7 linked regions of the Rattus norvegicus genome follow. The protein of the gene in region 4 purifies or fractionates together with the protein of the main gene of each other region. This does not show direct contact. Links are inferred from orthologs where the notes say so. Each region holds a gene or a part of one and is shown on either strand. Other genes may lie near its edges.

Region 1 (3,941 bases), about 100 Mb from region 4:
TGTCACTGTCTTTGGACACACCAGAAGAGGGCATCGGATCTCTTTACAGATGGTTGTGAGCCACCATGTGGTTGCTGGGAATTGAACTCAGGACCTCTGGAAGAGCAGTCAGTGCTCTTAACCACTTAGCCATCTCTCCAGCCCCTCAAACTCTCTCATTCCCCATGCCCACATCCCCTTACTTTGCACCCACAGCTCTTAGCCAACTGTAGCAACCACAGCCCCTCAGCCCTGGTCTACAGGGCATATGGTGGGTTCAGTGATCGGTGCCCTTGGCCAAAACTTGTCTTTCCAAGTCAGGATCAGCCTAAGTTTCCATACCAGAACCGGTCATGATCTGTAGACCTCAGTCAGACTCACATCAGGACAGAATGGAGGGTACAGTCCGCATCTAGATTTCCAACGACAGCCCTTGCCAGTTGCGATGGTACAAGCTTTCAATCCCAGCACTGCGGAGGCAGAGGCAGGGCATGCTCTGCGCTGTTGAGACCTGGTTTACATTCTAACTTTCAAGGCAGCACGAGTAGCCCACCACATACACACTTGTTTGTCGATTGTCTATATGCCTATATGTCCATTTTTTCCTTCTAGTTTTTAGGATTTTAATCATGTGTGTGGGTCTGCATGTGGGTTTAGACATACCCAGAGGCCAGAGGCCCCAGATCCTCTGGAGCTGGAGTTACAGATGGCTGGGGGCGCTGGAATCCGATTTCTCATACAAAGTGCAAATATATTAATAAAAACTTATATAAAAAGGGAAACTGAGGCACATGAACCTGGCTTTTCATCATCGGGCTCCCCCTTTCTTTCTTTCCTTTTCTTTTTCGAGACAGGATGTCCCTGGCTATAGACCAGGCTCGCCTCAAACTCATCGACTGCTTGCCTCGGTCCGGGATTAAAGGCGTGAACTACAGCCAAGTTTTCTTTTGCAAACGCCTAGTGGGAAAATACTAAGGCAGGTCAAGTATCGCGCGATCTTCCCGTGTGCGATCTCGCGCAGACACCGCCGCGGTAAATGCTGGGATTGCCCACCGCTCAACCTATCCTGGAAAGTTGGTGTATTCCGGCGATCACCTAAACCAAACCTGGGCGGGGCCTTCTCCGCATTCCGCGCAGGCGCACTGTGCTGGGGGCGTGCACTTTATGCTGTCCCGCGCAGGCTCAGTCCTGGTAGGTCTACGAGCGCGCGTGCAGAGTTGTTTGTGAAGTGCGACAACATGGACGACGAGGAGGAAACGTATCGGCTGTGGAAGATCCGCAAGACTATCATGCAGGCGAGTTGCATGGGGAGGTTTTGAGCGAGCGCTGAGCTGTGGACTAACTGCGGTTGTCTGTCCGCTCAGCCCAGCCTCCAATGGGGGCTAATCCTCTTGCTTCAGCCTCCCAGGTAATAGGATGCATCCCCTCTTAAAGTGTGGAGTCCACCCACCTCAGTTGTTGGCAATCCTCCTGCTTCAGCCTCCTCCCCCTGCCCCAGAGGAAAAGTCCTAGCTGGACTCTCTGCTTCGGAAACGGGATACATGGCTGCTACACGGTCACACCTGGTTTACGGGGTGTTGGGAACGAATGGTTTCCTCAGTACTAGGGAGCCTCACCATCGACACCCACATGGTAGTTCACAACCATCTGTAACCCCAGTTCCAGGGCATCTGTGGCCCTTTTCTGGTCTCTTGGACACACGTAGGATTAAAAGAAGCTATTTAAAAAAATAAAACAAGCCGGCATGACGGCGCACGCCTTTAATCCCAGCACTCTGGAGTTAGAAAGAGGCGGATCTCTGAGTTAGAGGTCAGCCTGGTCTACATGGTAATTTCCCGGATAGACAGGGTCACATTCACGCAGAGAAACCCTGTCTGGAAAGAAAAGGGAAAAAAGGAAGACATTTTGGTTGTTCGAGTTGAGTAGATAAGACCCCAGTGGAGAAAGAGGTATTAATAGTTTTAATTTATGCTGTGTTGGGTGGAGCCCAGGACCTGATCTAGGCCTCCTCAGGCCTGTTCTCAGCCCTCATTAGGAGGGTCCAAGACAGGAAGGTTGCCAGGTCATTGACCCCAGCCTTCTCTGGTGAGGCTGGAGGGAAGGGAGGAGGCTTGGCTGGGGCCTCTGTAGTCTCAGCCTATGCAGAATTTGGGTACTGCGGGTCAGTCAGTGTTAGTCCCCAGCTGTCCTCTAGCTGAGTACTCTTCTCTCTCTACAGCTGTGTCATGACCGAGGCTACCTGGTGACCCAGGATGAGCTGGACCAGACACTTGAAGAGTTCAAGGCACAGTTTGGGGACAAGCCCAGCGAAGGACGGCCGAGGCGCACAGACCTCACCGTGCTGGTGGCCCACAACGATGATCCCACAGACCAGATGTTTGTCTTCTTCCCAGGTGAGGGTCCTTGGGCTGGCAGTAGTGGCATCCTCTGGGGGCCTCCAGTTCTGGTGGCAGCTGCCTGCTTTGTCCCTGTCTTCCCCTGGGAAGCTTCCATTTCACCGGTGTCCTTTTTGCCCCTGAGTCCGCAGACCAGTGCTCAGTCCCCCTGCTCCTGTTGCTGTAGTCTACAGTTGCTGTCTGAGGCCCAGGCGGCTCTCGGAGGTTTGTGGTGCTCTGCAGCTCCTCCAGTCTCCGCAGGCAGCTTGTTTCCTTTAATACCTGATGTTGATGCCTGGGGCCTGGGGTTTTAGTGTGAGAATTGGGGGTGCAGGGATGGGCATGGTAGCATGTGTTTATAAATCCAGGAGGCGGAGGCAGGCAGCCGAGGCCAGCCTGGGCTACACAGTGACTTCTAGGACAGCCAGAACTATGTAAGGCAGTGGCTGTCAGCCTTCCCGACAATGGGACTCTCCATGTTGTGGTGACCTACAGCCATAAAATTTTCATTGCTGCTTCCTAACTAATTTTGCCACTGTTATCATAATGTAAAAAGGTGTGTAGAGTCTGGATAAGGTCCGATAATTTGCAGACTAGGTGACTAGGTGACCTGGACCTGCTCTTGTGCTCTGCGTCCTAATGCTCCAGTAAACCCCACTCTGCCTGAGGAGAGAAGGCTTAGCCCCATGTTAGACACAGGGTCCACCTCCTGGTCAGACAGTTTCTCCTTGAGGCTGCCCAAGCTGACAATACCATATTCCACAAATCTCAGAGCTGCTGAGAATTTCACCCCCTGGATCAGGAGGGGCGGACAGTGCAGCTTTCTTCCGCCATGGCTGCCCCGTGATAGCCCCACCGCGGCTGGCTTTGCGTTCTGGTCTTCCTTTGTGAGTGGAGAAGCTAAGTCCACAGGCAGCAGGACATCAGGGACTCTAGTGGTGGGTGTGAGGGTCACACTTGTGTGCCTGCAGAGGAGCCCAAGGTGGGCATCAAGACCATCAAGGTGTACTGCCAGCGCATGCAGGAGGAGAACATCACACGGGCGCTGATCGTGGTGCAGCAGGGCATGACACCCTCCGCCAAGCAGTCCCTGGTAGACATGGCCCCTAAGTACGTGCTAGAACAGTTTCTACAGCAGGAGCTGCTCATCAATATCACAGAACATGAGGTGCGTGTGTCCCAGGGAAGGTCTGGGTGGCATGGCGTGGTCTGGACAGGATACGGGAGGGCCCTGGATCTTCCCAGTCTCAGGCCGTGCCATTCATAAGCTGGGCAGGGTCGTTCCCCAGTTTTAGTGCAGTGGCCTTGAGCATCCAACTTGGTGATATTAGTAGCCTGGTTGTGTCCTCTGTCCCAGCCCTGTGGCAGTACCCATTAGCCTGTTGAGTCTGTCGGTTTCTGATGGCCGCGGGTGGGTCTCTGTTTCCACAGCTAGTCCCTGAGCACGTGGTCATGACCAAGGAGGAGGTGACGGAACTGCTGGCGCGATAGTATCCTTTTTTTTTTTTTTTTTTTTTTACGTGTGAGGCTATATGCCCATATGCACAAAGTAGCCTCTTTTTTTTTTTTTTTTTTAAGATTTATTTT
Region 2 (2,552 bases), on a different chromosome or scaffold from region 4:
CAGCTTGCTGGCTGAGTCCTCAAGCCATTGCTCCTTTCTCGATGTCTCCACATTTCAGTGTCTCCATTGGTGACTCAGGGACACACTTAAGGGAGTCACTAACCACTGCTCTTCCCTACTAGAGACTTTGGTAGCCAGAGCCTGACAGAACGATGTATGGGAGGTCAGGCCTATCTTGCCTGAAGTCTAGAGTCTGAGCCACACAGCAAGATCCTATTGTGACTTGGAGAAATGTCTCAGTGCAAAGCACCAAGTAAACTGCCCAGCCCTTGGGCAGATCCTGTTTAACTCCAGCTCCAGGGGATCCAACCGCCATGCTGTTCTGTCCTACGGGAGCACTGCGTTCACACACACACACACACAGACACACACACACACACACACACACACACACACACACACACACACAGACACATACACACCAGGTATGGTGACACACACTATTTTGGTTTTTTGTTTTATTTATTTTTGTTTTTATGACACAAGGTCTCACTGTGTGACGCTGGCTGGCATGGAACTTGCTGTGTGACCAGGCTGGCCTCTGCCTCCTAAGTGAGTGGTATATATTTGAATCCCAGCTTTAAGGAGACTGAGGCCAAAGAATCAGAAAGTGTCTGACGATTTCAGACAGAATGAACTTTGGTCAATGTGGGCTACAAGAGACTCTGAAGACAAACAAACGCTTCTCATGTTTTGTAATGTGTTAGCCAATGCTACCTGAGCACTCTGGCAACAAGAGGGCCATACCCAGATGCCCTTTGACCTTGGACCAGAACCAGGAGTCAAAATAAGCCTTTTCCTTGTCTCTCACCCAGGCCAGAGAGTTGTGGGTTTGCCACAGAAAAGGGACTAATTTCTTTGTATGTGTGTGTGTGGCACGCATGTGTGTTAGGTATATTCACATGTGTGTTCCTTATTATGTACACCAGGCTGGGCTCAGACTGCAGTTTCCTCTTATCTCCTTTCCTTGCCTCCTGCTCTGCCGAGGACATTCCTCTACCGTGAGCTAAGCCCTGGGTCATTTCCCCTGGAGCAGCTGTGTGCAGCTCTGGGAGCTCGAGACCGTCTGAGGTCGTTCCCCAGCTCCATTCTATGGCGGTGCCTGACATTGCCTACAACACAGTCATCAAAGTGCCTGAATAGCTCCCCACTGTGTACAAGTGCGACAGAGGCCACACAAGCCTTTCTACCCAGAGGGCTGCATAGCCATGCTGCCCCATCTCGAGCCCTCTGCCCTTCTCTGACCCCATGTTTCTTGAACCCAAGGCACAAAGATTTCTTTTCATCTTATTTTTGTGATTTTTTTTCTCAACCAATCCTGAGATCAGGAATATTTGAGAGAGGGGTCAGGCCGAATAAACAGTTCTCTGAACGTCCAGGAAATGGCTGTTGTGGCTTTGAGCATCACGAACAACCTGGCCAGCTGTGTCATAATGGCCACAGATGTCTATGCAGGCTCCTCCTCTTCCATTGCCGCGTCATTGCTAGTGCTTTTGCTCTGCTCATCCTCTGGACCTGCAGGCAGGATGCTGGTGACAGTGTGCAGGAGAGCTTCAATCTGCTCCTCCGTGAGCCGCTCTTCACTCTCTTCCACCATCTACAAGGGAAAGGATGCGTGTCGGGTTTAGGAGTAAGCCTCCCATCACAGCCCGCCCCAGCCATACAGGCCACAGCAGCCCAGCACTTGGTCCTGAGCCAGCCTGGGCCTCATCAAAGATCCACAGTAGGATGAAACCAGTTCAAATCCCAGCTCAAGCCAGAGTAGGCACAGAATCACAAAATGAGTCAGTGAAGCCGATTGTCTGTCTGTCCATCTGCCTCTCTGTCTATGACCAGGCTGGTCTCCAACACGGAAATCTGCCTGCCTCAACCCCCCGAGCTAAGGGTGTGCCACCACCACCATGCCCACCTTGTTTCTCATTAGATGAAGGGAAATCTAACTATTCTACTTCCGTCCCCATCCATATGTGACTATGTCGGAAATGCAAAGAAATTCACCTTTGGGGGTTGGGGGGAGTGTGTGTGACATGGCCCTAGGTAAACTTTTGGACTTCACAATGAGCACCTCTGTCACTGGAGTGGTATCACCCACTCATTGGATGCTGCTCTCGTGGGATACACAGTTTCTATCTTTGACTAGTTCTCCTTCCCTGGCACTCACCAGAACTCTGTAGGGGCTTCTGTGTGCTGGAGCCACACTAGGAATTTTATAATCTTACAACACTCACTATAATCTTAGCAAGAAGCAGAACTGGACTCTCAGCCTGGCATTCCCAGGCGGAAAGCCGCCAGCTAACATGGTGGTTTGGCTCTTAAACGTCCCTCAAATGCTGTGTGTGGAAGGTTTGCTAGAACTGCTAGTAGGTGGGGCTTAGAGGGAGGATTAAGGATACCAGGGGTGGAGGGATGGGGGATGCTGGGACCCTGGCCTTTTTATTCTTTGGTTCTAGTTTCTCGAGGTGAGCAGTTCATGGCATGATCATTGTCACAGGCCCACAGCAACAGGGTCATACATACTTGGACTGAATCTGAAACCATGAGGCAAAATAAAC
Region 3 (3,065 bases), on a different chromosome or scaffold from region 4:
TCAGAGTGTTATTTGTGTGTGCGTGTGTGTGTGTGCGCGCGCGTGTGCACATGGAGGTCAGAGGTCACCCTGTAGGAGTCGGCTGTCTCCTTCTGGATAGGTTCTAGGGATTGAACTCAAGTGACTGGCTTTGTGGCAAGCAACCTTACCCACTGAGTCATCTCCCTGGAGCAAACGTTTTTGGTTTTGTTGTTGTCTTTAAATGAAAATGAGAAGAATCTGCAGCCACGAAGTAGACGTTCACTAATATGGAAGGCCGGAACTTGGGGGAGGGTGCCGGAAGGTTCAGGAGGAAGCAAGTGTTGTTCTCAGTAAGTTCCACACAGCTTTAGCTATGGCACACATCCATAGCCGAGAGTCTGGGGAGCAGTGAAATGGGGCACAGTATTAGCCTATACTTGCCCTTGTGCCTGCTTCTCCGAGTGAGCGCTGACTGGCAGCATGGCGGAGTCCCTCAGACTGTGAGCTTAGCATCTGGTACCCAAAAGAGGAAACCATAGTGTTTTTAAATATTTTATTTATTTTTTGAGAAATTCTGGGAAATGACCACAAAAGTGCAGTACATCAAAAAACTAGGAGTTTCTAACAAGCTCAAAATCTCAAATTCTAAAACTCCTTGTTTGAAACGAACTTCAGGTAAGGTAGATAAAGACAACATCGATGTGCAGGGCAATGCGGAATCAGCTTGCTCTCACCACGACGCCTTCAGGATAAGGTAGTTACGATTTGCTTTAGTAAAGTTTTTCTTTTCCTGTTAACAAGAGCAACAAGAACAACAACACAGTACCAAGAGACACCGTAAAACAAAGGACCCACTGAGGAAGTCACTTTCGGATGTCAGAGCCCGCCACCTCCCGGCCTCCTTGCCTCGCTGCGCCCAGTGGCAGGTGCAGTACGGGCTGGGCTGGCCCTGCAGCCATCTCATCGCCGGCTGGGCCTTGGGTCACACTTGTCCCGGGAGGCCCGCTTCCTTGGAGGAGAGCAGCCCACTGAGCCCCGGGCTGAGTGAAGGCTGCGCTTGTAGGAGTGGCTTCTGTGTTTCTTCCCACTTGTTTCCTTCTGGTCTTGACTTTTGCCAGGCTCCTTACTGCCCTCTTTTTGTTCGTGGTCTTGCTCTTTATGGGAGGGCAATGTGTTCTTAATTGTGTTAATAAGGAATCTTTTATTCGTACCAGCGAGAGGACACTTCATCCTGTGGATGTGAAGAGGGAAGAAGACATCATAAATGCAAGAGTTAAATTCCCTCCCTGTCTGGCCCACGAGCCAGATCAGTACAAAAGAATTCAGGCCCCACAGAACCAGTTCCTGAGTTTGTCTGGCTTTCCTTGCCATACAGTGCTGGAGCAGGAGGACTGCCATGATTTTGAGACCAGCGTGGGGTACCAGGTCAATTCAAGTACCAGGTCAGCCAAGGCCCTGGAAAGGTGGCGCAATGGCCCTGTGCCTGAACGTTACAGTGCTACCTCATCAGACTCTACAGTCCCCACAGCAGTCACACCACAGCCCGGCAATGGTGGATTTAGGGAAAACTCACCACAGTCTAAGTGTCTAGCTACCAGCAAGCAGGGAAGCAACTGCAGGCAGAAGTGTGTCAGTGCACTTACAGCTAAGGTTCCTTCCAGCAAATGAGCAGAGGCACATACAGTGAGGGGTGACTGGCCACTCAGGGACACAGGACAGTCACGGCATGGACAATGTTGGAGCAAAGAAGCACTGACTGACTCAGGTGAGTACAGCATGACAGACAGGCCCTGGCGAGTGCTGATTCCCAGTTATCTTTAGAGCAGACAAGAGGGTGCTTGGTCATAGAGCAAGAGGCACGAAATGCAGCTCGCTGCCCCTGTGCTGCAGACAAAGCCACCACACCAGCAATGGCACCCCATCTTCTGCTCCACATACACCCTTTGCAATACAGAGGCTACAAGTATGGAGACTACGAGTCTAGAATGAATGGAAGGTCTGGGGCAGGGGCAGGCCCTCCATGCAGTGAGGTGACATTTATCCCGAAGCCATGGTTGACCACAACTCATGTCGTTGTTTAATACCGCCACAGCTACTATAATCACCCGTGGTAGTTAGTGCATTACAATCTGGCAATCAAATGCCTCAGCGTGTGGCCATCTGAGAAATGACACTCCTTCATTATTTACATACTCCCAAGGTTTACCACGTCCCCAACACTGTCCCGAAAAGGAATGTGAAACACTGGATGAATATATGCCTGTGTCAAATGCATATGTAAAAGCATTTACTATACTTAAAACCTTATGTATGCGGGACATTATACTAGGCCTGTGCAACAAAGATAAGCCAGGCTCTCAGTGGGCGATGTCTGCTATGAGGGGACAGAAGCAGGTGGGCATACAAAGGGTTGCTGTGCGGACTGAAAGCCCCAGGGCTGCAGCACATGGACCACTGGTACAGACTGTGACTGCACAGCAGTCCACTCAGGACTCCAATTTACCTTCAGTACGGACAGGAGAGGGAGGTGGCCAGCAGGACCAGGAAGCACTCACTATGCTGCAGAGTGCTATCAGGCAAAAAGAGAAGAGCTTGGCACAGGGGCCGACGATGCTTCAGTCCCTCGGCTGGAGGTGGGGTGGGGTCTCAGCAAACTTCTCTGGCCCCATAATTTTAAAGCACAAGAGAGAGACTGGATTTCTGTGGTTCTGAAATATGGCAAAGGGCTTATCTATGACAAATGTACAATCCTCCCAGCCTCCCCGCTCAACTGAGATCACCTCCTGTTTGTCTATCCACCAGAGCGTAAAAAAGCCAAAGGCCAAAAAAACAAGTCTCTTTAACTCTTTCTTGTGCCTGGCTGCAGGAACTACCCACTGGCAAGCAGCAAGTCCGCATGGAGCAGAAAACCGCCCGTCTCCAGGACTGGAGAAGCGATCTCCTTTCTGATACTCGACCCGCTGGGGATGTCGCTGTGTGTGGGTGGGAGGCTCTGAGAGTGAAAAGCTGGTGGCAGAGAGTAGCCGAGATGAGGTAGGCCTCTCCTCTCTGCCTGCAGACAACCTGACCCCCTCCGGAATGCACCCAACACCTACTGTAAACCA
Region 4 (3,500 bases):
TGACCAGAAGCTCCATGCTATGCTAGACAGCAAGTGAGAAGCCAGCCTGGATCCATGACACTCTGAAAACGATTCAGGGTGGCTCCAGATCAGAGAAGCAGTGCTGGGGAGGAAGAGGACAAGCACCTGTCACTCTGCTCCTGGTCCCACCAAGCCTGGCTCCAGCAGCACTCAGTGCCAGCTGCTCTCTACTTTCACAGGTCTGCACAGTCTTCAGGCTGGGCAGTCACTGGGAGCTCCAGGGCTAGTTGCTGGTCCACCAGGAGAGAAGGCCCAGGCCTGGCTCACTGATGGATCCCTGCCAAAGACAGAAAACACAAGTATACTCATCACCACTCAGAGCTGGGCTGCCCTCACCCTATTCAACATCTAGCAGGCCAGCACAGGCAAAGCAAGGCCGGGTTCACAACAGTCGGGAGGCTTGGAGAGACAGAGAGCAAGATCACTACGTATGCCCTAGCTCACCAGATTTTTAGGAAAGAGGCTCCAAAGCCTCAAGTGGGATCAGGGAACCCTTCCTCGACCCCAGACCTGTCTTTCTGAGCTCCCAAAGTTGCAGAGGGAGGGGCCTGAAAAACACTCTCCTGGAACCCTGCTCTAGTCTCAGCTTTGATCTCTCTAGCCTCTTGTTGGTTTTTGTCCCTTAAAGATGATCATGATATCCAAACTCTTACCTTGCCTGCCCATCATCTACAGCAATCTTGTCACCATATGGCCCCAGCCCTCAAAAGCAGACTAGTGTGATTGACAGATGACAATCAGAGAAGACGACCTGAAACCTCAAGAAAGCAGTCTCCTGTCAGCTTACCACGAGTGTATATGGTGCTTCCTTCTTTGGCAGCTCCTCGCTTGAAGAGGCAGCCTCGGCTGAGCTGGGTCCTGTGGGGGATGTGTCCACAAAACTCTCATCCACCACCCTGAAGCGGATCTCCTCACCAGTGTCCATGTACAGGTCATGAGCTCCTTCCTCGGTCTCATACTCCCACACCCACACTTGCTCCGCTTCATCACTGGAGTCCAGGGTCAAGGCCACAATCACGCCATGGGAGCGCGAGGCTGCGGGTCCTCTGAAGTACTTACCCAGGTTAAAACCAGCCTGAGGTTGAGACTATCTGCGCTAGGAAATACAGTAAAAGCTGCTTCTGTCCCTTGGAGAGCAGCCAGTTTGTACCAGGACCCAAAATGAGAATTCTATTCCCACCTCTAGGATGAGACTGACCTAGGTGCCCTGCATTTCTCTTTTAATCCTCATAACTAATCTGACAGGCAGACAGAGATCATGGGGCTTGCCCGGGCCTCAAGAGAGGCAGGTCTGACTGCCACCTGTCTAGGAAGGAGGAGAAACAATAAACCAAGGCCAGATTTGCTGACGATTCCACAGTCTCATGTAGCCTGTATTGCTGCCTGCACAGGCCTGGGTGAGAGGAGAGGCGAGTGCCTGCTCTACTCCTCCCCTAGCGCCTACAGAGCCATACTGCCCTCTAGTGGCACATCTCCCTCTGCCCAGACCATGAGTGCAGTTGTGACAACCACCTGAGCCCCTCCTGGGACCAGTGACAGTCCCATTAAAAGAAACAGCCCCACAGCAGGGGGTGAAGAGAAGCAGAGACCACCTGCCAGGTGAAGCTGCAGGGGACATGTGAAGTGACTTCTGCAGAGACAGCCTGAGTGAAGTGATGGCTGAGGAGCCGTAGGGCTCTATTATATCACCCAGCCTGACAGACTTGGGCAGGATGGGAGGCAGAGGTGGCCTGGAGCTTCACACAAGCACCACCAGTGGTGACAGATCACAGGCCAGGGAACCACAGTAATGGGGCTGGCTGTCCACTTGCTCCAAACCACACTTGAGAGGATACAACTTGGCAGGCTGCTGCAGTGACTCAGGGGGGATGAGGATGTCATCAAAGAACCCTAAAGAGACTGGAAGAAAGGAAGAAATGACATGAGAATGAGGCTTCAAAGGGAAAGCCCAGCAGAGATGGCAAGTCCCTCTCCCATGCGGCCCAGGTGTCTCCAGGGCAGTCTGTCCCCTCCCTCCTCAAAGCCCTCCTTCTACCCCACATGGGCTGAGCAGCCCTGGGCAGAGCTCCAGACACACAGCTCCCAGCATTCTCAGGGAGCCCGTCACCTCCACCAGCTCAGCACCCATTCTCAGCTACTAAGCTGTGGCCTTACAGGAGAGCTGAAGCCCTGACTCCTTCCTTGAGAGTATGGCTCTGCAGCTGACAGCCCCTCCACTGCCATAGGAGAGGCTCAGCTGGATTCTGGACCACGTGGTCAGCATAATGCCCACCCCACTGCGTCCCAGTCTTGCCCCAGAAGTCAGGGCACCTTACCGTGCACACCCTCTGGGCTGCAGCCTTTGATCTTCCCAATGAGAATCTCATCCAGGAAAGGGTGGAACACCACGTATCGGAAATGCACTAGAAAAGAAGGCCACACTGTGGTAGTAACACCAGGCCTGCCAAGAAGGCCACGGAGCCTGGAGCTGCTCACGTTCTCCAATGTTCGCCTCACTGCCAGCACTTAGCCAGTGCTTCATGCTGAGTCCTCTTGCAGGCCTAGACCTGTTGCTTAGCCAGAGAACAAAGCCTCCCTCACTTATGCAAGGCCACAGCTTGGTCCCCATAAGGAACCATCAGCAGCTGCTGCCCTGGAACTGAGGCTTCCAAATCCATCTCAGTCATACCTGAGCCTAGATTCTGGGCCATGAGTGACCCCCAAAGTCAATTCCGAACGACCTTCAGGCTGCTCTTCACATTCCAAAAGGAAAGAAGCAACTGGCCAGGCTTGGAAGGAAGGTCCTGTCACCTGACGCCCAAGCACAGAAGCTGACAGGAGACCAGGGACAGATACTAAAAATGCAAGGCTGCCTGCCTGGCGAGGTGACATGGGGAAAGCCTTCCTGTGTTCCCATGCCTTGTCCTATGCACTCTCCACTCACCTGAACCAAGGAAAAGGCTGGCTAAAGCTGTACCACACCAGAATGACTCCTGGCCTCAGCAGAGGCCACACCTCACTGGCCCTGTCACCCAGAAAGATGTTCTCTGCCATCACTGCCTATGAGCCTCCTGTGCCAGATGCCATGTTCTACCATACAGAGGAAGAGGAGGCAGCTCAGAGGCTGTGTGCCCTGTCCCAACCACACAGTTCTCCTGCTCATTCAGCCAGGGATAGACTCTAAGGCAGTGGTTCTCAGCCTTCCTAATGCTGTGGCCCTTTAATACAGTTCCACGTGCTGTGGCGACCCCCTCCCCAACCATAAAATCATTTCATTGCTACTTCATAACTGTAATTTTGCTACTGTTATGAATCCTTTTTTCTTTTTTTCAGAGCTGAGGACTGAACCCAGGGTCTTGCGCTTGCTAGGCAAGTGCTCTACCACTGAGCTAAATCCCCAACCCCTACTGTTATGAATCCTAATGTAAGTGTCTGACCCACAAAGGAGTTGGGACCTCAAGTTGAGAATCACTGCTCTACATCTTGCCTCAGACAAGGCC
Region 5 (2,312 bases), on a different chromosome or scaffold from region 4:
AACATCCTGTTTTAGCCACACTTCTTATGCTGCCCTTGTGGGAAACAGCTGACCGGAAGCCCTGAGGAATGCTAGGGAAGAGGAGACTTTAGAGTAGAAGTCCAGGTAGATGCCTCAAAGCAGCATCACACACACTAATGCCATCCCAATACCTGTTGTCGCACTGTCATCTCAGAGCCAGTGAGTGGGAGAACTAGGCTTCGACCGCTCTTGCCTAGGGCTGGGTTGCAGGCTAGGTGGGTTGAAGTGGGCAGGGCAGCAGATCACAAGGCAGAGAAATGACCAGCTCATGCTTGGGCCAGTTTCCCCCACAGACTGCTGCTTCCCCTGATGAGCAGAAGGTATTTGCCCTCTGGGAGTCTGGAGACATGAGTGACCAGGTGAGGTGCCTTTTTTTTTTTTTTTTTTTTTTTTTTTTTTTGTCGTCTTTCTTTTTTAAGAGCGGGAGTCCTAGAAGGTTGAGGCTATTAGAATCTTGACACTAGAGTATAGTTGGACATGTCAGGTTTTCCAGTCACTCCAAGATAGGCCATGTGTGCCAGTGGTTTGCCCCTGAACTTGGGTGGATGTCTGTCGAATTAGAACAGTATCACCTTTGAAAAGATGACTGTTTCCAGCAGTATGGTGGCCTCACTCTGAGCTTTAGAGCTCTATGATAGTGATGCAGGCAGGCTTGGAAACCACGTGCAGAGGAGAGTTCTCAGTGGCTTTTTTATTAGCTGTCTTAAACCTGGAGTTTGGTTATTTTGTTCTGCGATCCTGTCTCCAGTGTTTGGGTAGTTCAGCTCTGGGAAAGAGCTGAGGTCCAGATGCCTTTAAATCATGAACTTGCCTGAATTCCAAAGATTAAAGTGTTTTGGTTTTAGCAGACATGCCAGTCAGGTTGAGACAGGAGTGAATCCTGTTGAAGCCTGTTTCCCTTTTACTTGCCAGGGGGACAGGAAGGCTGAGAGCAAGAGTGGGTATGAGGCCTCGCTTCTAACAGGAGTCCTGAAGTGACCCTGTTTTTGGCCAAGAAAGGTAGCTTGAGGCTTTCCTACTTAGCTTCTCAGATCACTAAGGGAAAAAAAGTAGTAAGTTCATTTAAAACTGAACAGGGCCTAAAGAACTGTGGGGAAGCTGACTCTGCCCTCAGAGGTGACCGATTGTTTGTGACTGTGAGCCGATCAGTGGTTACCACATGCTAGTGCACAGAACATGTTCATGCTGCAGTTACTGCTTCCTCTCCAACATGTGGGGCTAGAGAGCCAGCTCAGGCCTTCAGGCACCTTCTCTGCTGAGCCATCTCACCGCTCACTTCCTCTGTGCACTAGTCTGCTGTTCTGACCCCAGCAGACCAGCAGCACGACTCCTGTGGAATGTGAGGACACTGCTTCTCCATGTGTGGCTCTTCCTGTGTCTAGAGTCTTAGCCTCTGATGGGATATCGACAGCGTTCTTTCTTTCTGCCCTCAAGTACTGCTGGTACTAATAGAACTAAAATTTTACAGGGCAAATAATTTCCCCCCGTTAGGAAGAGGGTATCGTAATCATTTCAAAGTTGAAATTCAGTGATACTCTTCTCGTGAGATCTTCCCTTAACTGCAAACTGCATGGCGTATATTGTTCCCTACACTGGTAGGACCTTGATGTATTCTGAATTCTTTATTTACTAGACAGTTGGGCTCTTAGAGAATCCTGTAGGCTGATAAATTTCTTTACCTTTTTGAATCCTTATAGACATTTGAGCTATTAAACCTACTAGATGTCGTCTTTGCCCATTTTTTGAGACCAGAATTTTTCACTGTAGCCCTGACTGGCCTTGAACTCATGCTGATGCCCCTTTCCCAACAGGGATTGTGAGGTGTGTGTGAGTCATCACCCTCTGCAGTCAGTTTTCATTCTTCCCTTCTGTTTTGAGGATGGCCTTATTTGTCCTCTGCTATTTAATGTCTCTTTAGGAGTTTGGTGCATTTTCCAGTTTCCTGGATTCAGTGTTATGCTTGTGTCTAGACTTTGAACCAATTTAGATACCTTTCCCCCACCCAGTCTAAACTAGATGCTTCTGCTCACTTCCTTGTATGTCCAAACTGCTCATCCTGAGTTCCTTCACTGAAGTCTGCAACAGTGACCAATAGGTCGGTCTTGCTAATCTTTAACCAGGAGTGCTAAGCCACTAGACACTGCAAGGTGGGGCCAGCGCCATCATTTTGGATCTTTTGTTTGGGGATAGTTCACATTTGGGATACTATCACTATCGAACTAACACTTTTTTTTTTTAAATTAAATAAAGCATCGACAGGTTTTGCTTGAAATATTTTCCAAAAATTACCG
Region 6 (4,183 bases), on a different chromosome or scaffold from region 4:
CACTTGGTGTGGTTGTTAGGAACTGAACTCTGATCCCCTACAAGAGTAACATGAGCTCTTTGTTGCTAAGCCATCTTTCCAGCCCCCAAATCTGAAATTTAAAATGCAACATGGACAAGTTCGCACTGCCCCTTCCAGCTCAGAACGCTGCCTCAAAATTCCCATTTGGAATCTGTTCCAAGAGATTTAAAAATGGGCGTTATTCAAGAGACCAAAGTCTATCCTAACCATCTCCAAACACAACCACCTGGAAAATGGTGAGTTCATCTCTACAATTCTTCCTAGATCTAAAATGTCATGAGTTATGATTGTGACTTAAATGTATCATCCTCGTGTACACACAACCTTACACATTTAAGGAGATGAGTAAATGTTCAACTAGCTGGAGGTCAGGGGAGACAGCAAAAGCCAGGTCACAGTATCTCTCTGAAGAATGACCATTAGCTGTGTGTTCCCTAGTCTTCTCCTTTCTTCTGCATTAGCTCAGGCCTTAGCATTGCTCATCTGACCCTTTGAAACATGCTAGACATTTTATGTCCAGATTCCTATCATTCTCAACCAAACTCTTGTCAATTTAATAGAAGGCAAATCTTTACACTTCCGATATACTGTTCTCTTCAGTTTAACAAAGCTCAGGACATTTAACTTCTGCTTCTCACCAAGTAACTGACTGTTGGTTTTCTGCCTCCCCAGGGAGAGTCTTTGACCATCCACTGGCGTCTTTATGAAGCCCTAACCCTAACCCTACCTCTGGGTCAAACCATCCTCTCTGCTGGAAATAGAGAGGTGAACAAAATAATGTCTCTGCGCTTATGGAGTTCACGGACAGGAGAACCTGTCAGAGCCTGACAGATGGTGTGAAAGTGAAGCAGGAACCAGGCCAGATAAACTAGTCATTTGGGACTATCTGAGCATAAATTTAATTAAGATGAGAAACAGAGTCATATTGAAAAGAATAAAAGAGTCATCAGAAACTGTAGGTCCAAAGGCCTCTAGAGCTAGGCACAAGCTGGATAATCATCACTGAATTATTTCTGAGCTCATGACCACAGAACAACACTGTGCCATCTTACCGAGTGCCTCCCTTCTGCCGCAGAAGCATAAAGTAAAGAGGGCACTGTGTTTCTCTGTGGAGAACACCTTCTTAGGCAGAACCCAATTTTTGCATTCATGATGCATTAGTTAACAAGTATTTGTGTACAAGTGTCAGCTTCCTCAGATTCTTGAGAACTCAAATCAGACTTTTCTTTAAACAGTTTTCTGCTTGTCACACATCATTTAGTTCAGGCACTAGTGCTAAGAATGGTCCCAATTGCATAATTGAATAATAGATGAGATTAGCAAAATACTCAAAAGAGCAGCGACCTGCTCCCACACCCACTGGAGAGTTTGGGAGTGTAGGAAGAATGCATCTCTCCCTCCAGGAAAGACTTATGTGCCACAGGAAGGATTTTGCTAATTATCTTTGATAATGCTGTCCCCGTGGGTCTCTTTATAATTTCTGAAGGTTAGTCAAATTCTCAAGGGAATTTCTGAATCTGAAAGAGATGCATCGGTAGCTAATGGTTGGGGTGCAAGCACAGGGACTTGATACTGACAGTGGGGGTGATTTCGGTTGCTTGCAAGGCCACACCCAGTGATTATCCACTTTCCCTGTCCCCTCAAAGTGATCTCTGCCTTGCCTTAAGCTCTAACCTTTTCTGCTCTCTTCAAAGAGCAAGGAAACACCCAGAACTATGACGGGCATTTAGGATCTCCTTAAAGAAAAATTCTATCACCAGCCCCTCTCCCCACTATCAAAGGTGCCAACAGTTAAGAAAAAAGAAGCGATGATAAGTATGCCCTTATTAGCCAAACTGCCGCCAAACTTTACATGAACAAAAACCACAGTCCCCGGATTTGCAAAGTCTTCTCTTGTAAAAGGATAAACTTCCAGCGTGAGGCTGGAAGATCTGGCTACCAAAACTTTTAAAGGTTTGGAAGCCGGCAGCAGCAGGCTTTGGGAGGTAGGGGTACAGCCCAAAGTCACTCCAGAGGGGCTTTGATGAATTTTGGCTCCAGATTATCGGACCACCACGTTCTCCACGTGCCCCATCAACTCCCTTCTACCCTCTTCACCTCCAGCCCAGTCCGGGATAGTTTCCAGTTACCTTCTCACCAAGTCTCGAGGCTTGGGCACACTGTGCAGCGATGGTGGCAGGAAAGCTGGCAGTCGCGCCAGCAAGGAGCAGCAGATTCCACCTCCGGAACAGCGAGAACCTCACCGCACGCGGCTCCGGCTCAGGGTAGCGCACTGGAAGCCCCGCCCACTCTACGAGGCCACACCCCCGGAAAGGAGCTTTTTAGCCCTTGGCAGGCGCCGTAGTCAACCTCCAACTGGCTCGGCCTCACTCTGGCCTCCCGCTACGAGTGCGCAGCGCCCGCGGCCCGTGTGGGGGCGGTCCTGTCTCTTCCCACGCATCCCTCCAGGCCTCTGCAGTCGGAACCCCGAGCAGGGCAGCATTGCCCGGTGTCTCCGCCCCGCTTCAGCGGCCTGTGTCACCGCCTTGGTGCTGCAGCTGCAGAAGCTGCGGCAGCTGGGGTGCAGTCTTTGCGCTCTGCGGCTTGGACGGGAGGGCGAGGAACAGGCGATCTGGGCAGTGTCGCTGCGTCCTATCCGCGCTCCCTTCCGCATCCCCGCCCCTCGATCGCGCCTCCTCCGGAGCTGAGAGTAGCTCTTCGCTCACTGCAGCAGCGGCGAGTCCTGGACTGCCTGTGGGAGGCACACCCACCTTGCCCGGCCGCACCCCTGCGCATCGGCATGTCGGCACTCGAGTGGTATGCCCACAAGTCTCTGGGCGATGGCATCTTCTGGATTCAAGAACGGTTCTACGAGTCAGGCAACCGGGCCAACATCTGGCTGGTGCGCGGCTCGGAGCAGGACGTGGTGATCGACACGGGCCTGGGGCTACGCAGCCTCCCGGAGTACCTCTACTCCTCCGGCCTCTTGCAGGATTGTGGTGCCAAAGAGGATGCAGGACGTCGGCCGCTGCTGGCCGTGGCCACCCACGTGCACTTTGATCACTCCGGCGGGCTCTATCAGTTCGACCAGGTGGCTGTGCACCGCGCCGAAGCCGAGGCCCTGGCTCGCGGGGACAACTTTGAGACCGTGACCTGGCTCTCTGACAGCGAGGTGGTGCGGGCGCCCAGCCCTGGCTGGAGGGCCAGGCAATTCCGAGTGCAGGCAGTGCAACCCACCCTCATTCTGCAGGATGGTAATAGGTCCCGGGGGCGCGCGCTGTCTCTGAGGGAGGGGCTTGGCGAGCGTGTACAGCTTGTTGCAGACCTCCGTGGCACTGTTGGGCTACCGTGCGGGAATACTCTGACTCACCCTTTGCTGCGTGAAAGCCAGCTTGGGCAGAGCCTAGGCCCACTCAGTCTTCTCTGCCAGGAGATGCGCGCTGCTACTGTGTGGCTGTTTATTTGAAAGCTCACACCATCCCCAGTCAGTCGGCTACGGTAGTTACACTGCAGAGACTTGTGACTGGAGATATTCCATTCTTTTCCCAAGTACCAGTTGAACATTTCCAGCTTTTGTAACGAGTAGGCTTTTAAGATATGGCACCTTGTGGAGAGTGTTAGGCTCTGTGCTCTGAAAACTGCTGACTTCTGCTGCCTGCGCACTGCTCACCGCAGAGTGCCTCAGTCTCACCTGTAGACTTAGAGAGCTTTCGTCCATCCTTACCTTTCAGATGGATTTGTTTGCTTATTGCCTCTCAAAAAGAAAAAAGGCTTGATGGTGGACATGAACGTAGAATTATGACAGCTATCTGGTCTGGATGAGAGCGAGGCCTAAGAACGATCAATAAGGGAGTTGTTTCCCATGGATAAAGTGTGTGCATTAATTAATGCAGACTTCATTCTCTTGGTCCTAAGAAATTGATAAAATGGAGCAAGATAGAGTAGGGTCCCAATCCCCTTCTCCCCATGCAGGACTGCACTAATTGAACTGGTTAGCGACAACAGCAATACTTGGTATATCAATTTTATATTTTTTGCCTTAGGATTTATTTATTTACATCCCAAAAGCTACTCCCCCCTCCTGCTCCCTCCCTCACAGAGACTCCCTCATCCCGTCTCCCCTTCTGGGAGGGTGGAGGCCCCCTGGGTATCCCTTCCCCCACCCCCAGCACATCAAGTCTCT
Region 7 (4,166 bases), on a different chromosome or scaffold from region 4:
TCTTTGGCTCCACAGTGAGTTTGGGGCCAGCCTGTAGAATTCACTACCTTCCTCTGACCTATGCACCAGGGCACACACTCCACCCAGGCCCACTAACAATAAATACGGTTTTTTCTCATTATATAATATTTTATTTAAAAATTTTGCCTTTTCAGTGTACACTTTCTCATTAGCAACTCCCACGGTGGGAAGACAGTTTATTACTTAGTCTTACATTTTTTGGACAGCTCATTCGTGCATAACTGAGATACATTTGAAGAGTAAGTCTGTTTGCAATCTGTCATATTTGAACCCACCTACAAAGGAGAACTCCCTAAATTGAACTTCCCAAAATCTAACTTTCCTTGATTTCCTTCCTAAGACTTAAAACGTCAGTAACTGAGGGCATCTCCTGATTAAAAGTCCCCTAGAAACAGAGCCACCAACAGCTGGGGCCACCTGAACAAGAGTGGAAGGTTCCAAACAGAATACTGTTCAATTTCATGCAAAGTCTGACTCATGAATGAACAGTGCTCCCTCCAGGTCTGAGGAGAGAAGTCTACTCTTATCCTGACAGCAATTAGCTGGCTCTCCTTAAGAAATTGTGATCAAAGGCAACATGAGCCTATGAAATGTTCAGTTACACGATGAGTCACGTGAACTGGCGTCCAGACTCAGTGACTATAGGACTCAGACTCACGACTGAGTGAACCTAACTCCTCAACAAATAAATTCTGAAAATAGCCATGTAATTAGAAGACATTCTGCCCACCAACGGATTTACCGTTCATCCCCTCCTCATTGTGAGGTGAACAGCATTGATAAAGCAGAGGCAAGGAGGCATGCAATCAAAGTGCTACACCAAGAGGTCAGAGCTTCCACAGCATGGCAACCGCTCTGCAGATGCCTACATTGTGGTAATTGAAGTAGCAAAGCCCAGCAAAGGTCAAAGCTGAGACTGTCCTCATGAACGTAGGCAGAAACCACTTGTCCAAGGCCCCAGTAACTGTGCAGGGTGAGGGTTGCAGCCAGAGAGTAGTCCACCACAGAGCAGGGATTCAAGTACCCAGCTGGAATCAGGCCCAAGAGCAAAACACTGACAACCCTCTCACTGGTCCAGTGGAGAGATGCAGCCTTGGAACCAGACTGGTGGCTTGGTGACAGGTGAATGTGCTGGGTGCCATGCCATCCTGGGGTAGGCTGGTCCTGGAGAAATGTGGACACAAAAGCAGGTCTGACTGCCCAGTTTCGGAGTAACAGAGCTCGAGCTCCTTGGCCACTGCAGAGAACGCCCAGCTTTAAGAGGACCGCCATGTCGCTTTTGAGGGCTCCCAATAAATAAGTTTAAGTTGAACAAATACAAAGAAAAAATAAAATAGTGGCTGGGCCTGAAAAGAGCTGGTGAATTCTCTTACTAAAGATGCTGGCTCTGGAGTAGGGGTGTGGTTCAGGGGTAGAATTAATGCTTAGCATTTGTAAGACAAGATTCATGCTTCTCAATTTAAAAGAAAAAGTTTATTTGGGGTGCAGTGGTACAAGCCTGTTATCCCAGGAAGGCTGAGGCAGGAGGATCATAAGTTGGAGGCCAGCCTGCTTGTCCTGCATAGGAAAAAACCTGTCTCAAAAATATTTTCCCACATACTCAACAACAATTTATTGGATAGATGTTATCAGAGGGTTCACTATGATCCCCATTGTCTAACGCTGTGTCTGGGATGTAGTAGGTGCTCAGCAAATTCCTGTTTGAACAGGAGTCTAGAGACCCTGTGAGTCATAAAGACTCCCTTATGGTTCTTATAGCTGATTTCCTTCTCTGGTCTGAGAATAACTATAAAACATTAATGCAATAAACCACCAATTTAAAGGCCTTTAATTATATACTATGTTGTCTTTTATTGTTCCCTAATTATATTAGGAGTTTAAAACTGGTTCCCACAAATCAATTCCATTTGATGAACGCTTATTGAACACAATGTATTAAGTACCACAACCTGTCCCATCAAACCTTCGGTTCATGGAATAGAAACATCAAAAGAGAACGTGTAATCCTAGCACTGGGGAGACTGTAGCAGAGGAATGCAAATTGGAGGCCAGTATAGGCTACACAGCAAGAGTCTGTCGGTAAAAAGGATGGGAGGGATGGAGGGAGACAGTGAGCCTCATGAGATACTAAATACTCTCTTTGCCAGGTGGCCAGGAAAACAGATTGATTAGCTCAAGTTGTCCTCTGACCTCCTTGCGCAAGCCATGGCGCGCACGCCACCACCACCACCACCACCACCCCGATAATAAATGTGATTTTAAAAGTTAAATAGATTTCAATAATGATAATCAGACATTGTCAGGCTGAGGATCAGTAAACTCTTCAAGGAGGTCTAGAAAAGCAGTGGGTAGAGGGTAGCGAGCGGTTCAGTTGACTTGATAGGTAATAAGAATCTGCCAGGCTCTTGACAGGAGGTTAATGTTAACAGACGTGGAAGAAGCTGATACCATAGAAGAGTCTGAGCTACAAGAATGAGCATTCCTCTCCTGTTTTAATATCTGTCCCCAGGCACGACAGCAAGCTGTGTCTCTGGTGTACAGTCAAGACAGCAGTGAGAGCCCGGGAAGAAAGGGGAGGGATTCAGAAGGGGGCTAGTCCAATAGGCTGACAGAAAGCGTTAACTACGTTGCTGTCTGGCGCCGAGGGACTAAATCTGGAAGTACCGAACCAAACCCGGTCAGAGCCACCAGGTCCAAGCCTTACCTGCCGTCCCTCCCCCACTCGGGCCCACGCAGCCGCCAACTTGAAATTTGCTTTTCTTCTTCCAGCCCGCGTTCTAGGCCCGCCTCCCTGACCTCTCCATTGGTGGGTTTTCCTAGCCAATCAACAAGAGCGGAGGCGGGCAAGGAGGGGTGGAGGTGGGAGCAAGCCTAACCGGAACTGAGGCTTGGCAAGTAGGGCGCGCTGAGACCTGGGGCTGCAGTGTTCACCTCTTCTGCCCAGACGGAACCGACTCTGGATGGCAGGAGTCGGCTAAGATGACCTGCTCCTCAGAGCACTTCCAGGCACGTAGCTGAGCCAGAAGAGAATTGCTGCTGGGAAATGTAGCCTTGTGTTAGAGAGACCAGACTGCTTAACTGTTAACGGCTCGGCCAGCAGGAGACTGGAGTTAGTTCCCAGAACCCTCCAGGAGGCTCCCAACCGCCTCCAGCGGTCTCCAGTGGAGACTCCAGCGTCCTCTACTGGCTTAGGACCCCTCCCTTGCCCCCCCCCCCCAACTCCCCAGCGTCAGTCTTTTGGTGACTTTCCGACCCTCTCTTTCAGCACTACCAATAAATACTTAATCTTTTTTTTTAAAGATTTATTTTATATATGTGAGCACACTGTAGCTGTCTTTAGACACACAGAAGAGGGCATCAGATCCCATTACAGATGGTTGTGAGCCACCATGTGGTTGCTGGGAATTGAACTCAGGACCTCTGGAAGAGCAGTCAGTGCTCTTAACTGCTGAGCCATCTCTCCAGCCCCCAAATACTTAATCTTTAAAAGATTTTTTTTCCCTAAAGACAGGTTCTGGCTACTCAGTCTAGACTGGCCTTGAACTCTTGATACTCTTGACTCTGCTACCGTGGTCAGGCCCCAAATGCCCAGTCCTGTGAATTGTTGCTATGTCTGAGAAGTGGGGGAGGGAAAGGCTCTTGGGATCAGAGAAGTCACTGGGGAGAGAAGGTGGGAATCCAGTGGGCTTTTTTGTTTTTTTCTTTCTGCGCTTTGCACTGCCCTTCAAGCCCCTTCAAGGGAATGGTGTGGAGTAGAAAGAGTCATCCTGGGTTGGGGATTTAGCTCAGTGGTAGAGCGCTTGCCTAGCAAGCGCAAGGCCCTGGGTTCGGTCCCCAGCTCCGAAAAAAAGAAAAGAAAAAAAAAAAGTCATCCTTTCACGGAGTAGAAGTAAATGGAAATACTTCAGGATGGAGATAAAACTAGGAGTTAGTCAACATGAATATGCCAGAGGTCAGAGAAAATGCTTGTGGATGACACATACTCGGTTTTTGGAATAGTACAAAAACATAGCAATGAAACTTTGGGGAACTTGCTTAACCTGATTTGTTGCAAGAAGACAATAGTTCCCACCTCATAGAGTTCTGAGGGTCGGAGATGATGTACGTATGCAAAGCACTCAGCACACTTCAATAGCTAGTAAAAG

Evidence for each region.
Region 1: the proteins of Polr3h (region 4) and Polr2e purify together in Homo sapiens (affinity purification with mass spectrometry; 6 studies listed by BioGRID and IntAct, counting the BioPlex papers as one, with this or other methods). This does not show direct contact. The link is inferred for Rattus norvegicus from reciprocal best matches to the Homo sapiens genes POLR3H and POLR2E.
Region 2: the proteins of Polr3h (region 4) and Crcp purify together in Homo sapiens (affinity purification with mass spectrometry; 4 studies listed by BioGRID and IntAct, with this or other methods). This does not show direct contact. The link is inferred for Rattus norvegicus from reciprocal best matches to the Homo sapiens genes POLR3H and CRCP.
Region 3: the proteins of Polr3h (region 4) and Polr1d purify together in Homo sapiens (affinity purification with mass spectrometry; 6 studies listed by BioGRID and IntAct, with this or other methods). This does not show direct contact. The link is inferred for Rattus norvegicus from reciprocal best matches to the Homo sapiens genes POLR3H and POLR1D.
Region 5: the proteins of Polr3h (region 4) and Polr3e purify together in Homo sapiens (affinity purification with mass spectrometry; 9 studies listed by BioGRID and IntAct, counting the BioPlex papers as one, with this or other methods). This does not show direct contact. The link is inferred for Rattus norvegicus from reciprocal best matches to the Homo sapiens genes POLR3H and POLR3E.
Region 6: the proteins of Polr3h (region 4) and Polr3g purify together in Homo sapiens (affinity purification with mass spectrometry; 5 studies listed by BioGRID and IntAct, with this or other methods). This does not show direct contact. The link is inferred for Rattus norvegicus from reciprocal best matches to the Homo sapiens genes POLR3H and POLR3G.
Region 7: the proteins of Polr3h (region 4) and Polr3gl purify together in Homo sapiens (co-immunoprecipitation; 4 studies listed by BioGRID and IntAct, counting the BioPlex papers as one, with this or other methods). This does not show direct contact. The link is inferred for Rattus norvegicus from reciprocal best matches to the Homo sapiens genes POLR3H and POLR3GL.

What each region holds. Positions count from the first base shown.
Region 1 is NC_086025.1:10,316,217-10,320,157, forward strand, and holds the start of Polr2e (DNA-directed RNA polymerases I, II, and III subunit RPABC1), read left to right. Parts: upstream 1-1,141; 5' UTR 1,142-1,217; coding exon 1,218-1,274; exon of another isoform or gene 1,275-1,354; coding exon of another isoform or gene 1,355-1,387; intron 1,388-2,197; coding exon 2,198-2,372; intron 2,373-3,325; coding exon 3,326-3,522; intron 3,523-3,785; coding exon 3,786-3,844; intron 3,845-3,941. UniProt on the Homo sapiens protein: DNA-dependent RNA polymerase catalyzes the transcription of DNA into RNA using the four ribonucleoside triphosphates as substrates.
Region 2 is NC_086030.1:32,259,665-32,262,216, forward strand, and holds the end of Crcp (DNA-directed RNA polymerase III subunit RPC9), read right to left. Parts: intron 1,598-2,552; coding exon 1,448-1,597; 3' UTR 501-1,447; downstream 1-500. UniProt on the Homo sapiens protein: DNA-dependent RNA polymerase catalyzes the transcription of DNA into RNA using the four ribonucleoside triphosphates as substrates.
Region 3 is NC_086030.1:13,084,005-13,087,069, forward strand, and holds the end of Polr1d (DNA-directed RNA polymerases I and III subunit RPAC2), read right to left. Parts: intron 1,193-3,065; coding exon 922-1,192; 3' UTR 501-921; downstream 1-500.
Region 4 is NC_086025.1:115,309,882-115,313,381, forward strand, and holds part of Polr3h (DNA-directed RNA polymerase III subunit RPC8), read right to left. Parts: intron 2,424-3,500; coding exon 2,337-2,423; intron 1,921-2,336; coding exon 1,857-1,920; intron 1,011-1,856; coding exon 809-1,010; intron 299-808; coding exon 245-298; 3' UTR 1-244.
Region 5 is NC_086019.1:184,921,415-184,923,726, forward strand, and holds part of Polr3e (DNA-directed RNA polymerase III subunit RPC5), read left to right. Parts: intron 1-302; coding exon 303-380; intron 381-2,271; coding exon 2,272-2,312. UniProt on the Homo sapiens protein: DNA-dependent RNA polymerase catalyzes the transcription of DNA into RNA using the four ribonucleoside triphosphates as substrates.
Region 6 is NC_086020.1:13,718,988-13,723,170, forward strand, and holds the start of Polr3g (DNA-directed RNA polymerase III subunit RPC7), read right to left. Parts: upstream 2,801-4,183; 5' UTR 2,151-2,800; intron 1-2,150. Other genes in the region: acyl-coenzyme A thioesterase MBLAC2, read left to right, coding at 2,801-3,254. UniProt on the Homo sapiens protein: DNA-dependent RNA polymerase catalyzes the transcription of DNA into RNA using the four ribonucleoside triphosphates as substrates.
Region 7 is NC_086020.1:186,815,170-186,819,335, forward strand, and holds the start of Polr3gl (DNA-directed RNA polymerase III subunit RPC7-like), read right to left. Parts: upstream 2,801-4,166; 5' UTR 2,726-2,800; intron 1-2,725. UniProt on the Homo sapiens protein: DNA-dependent RNA polymerase catalyzes the transcription of DNA into RNA using the four ribonucleoside triphosphates as substrates. Specific peripheric component of RNA polymerase III which synthesizes small RNAs, such as 5S rRNA and tRNAs.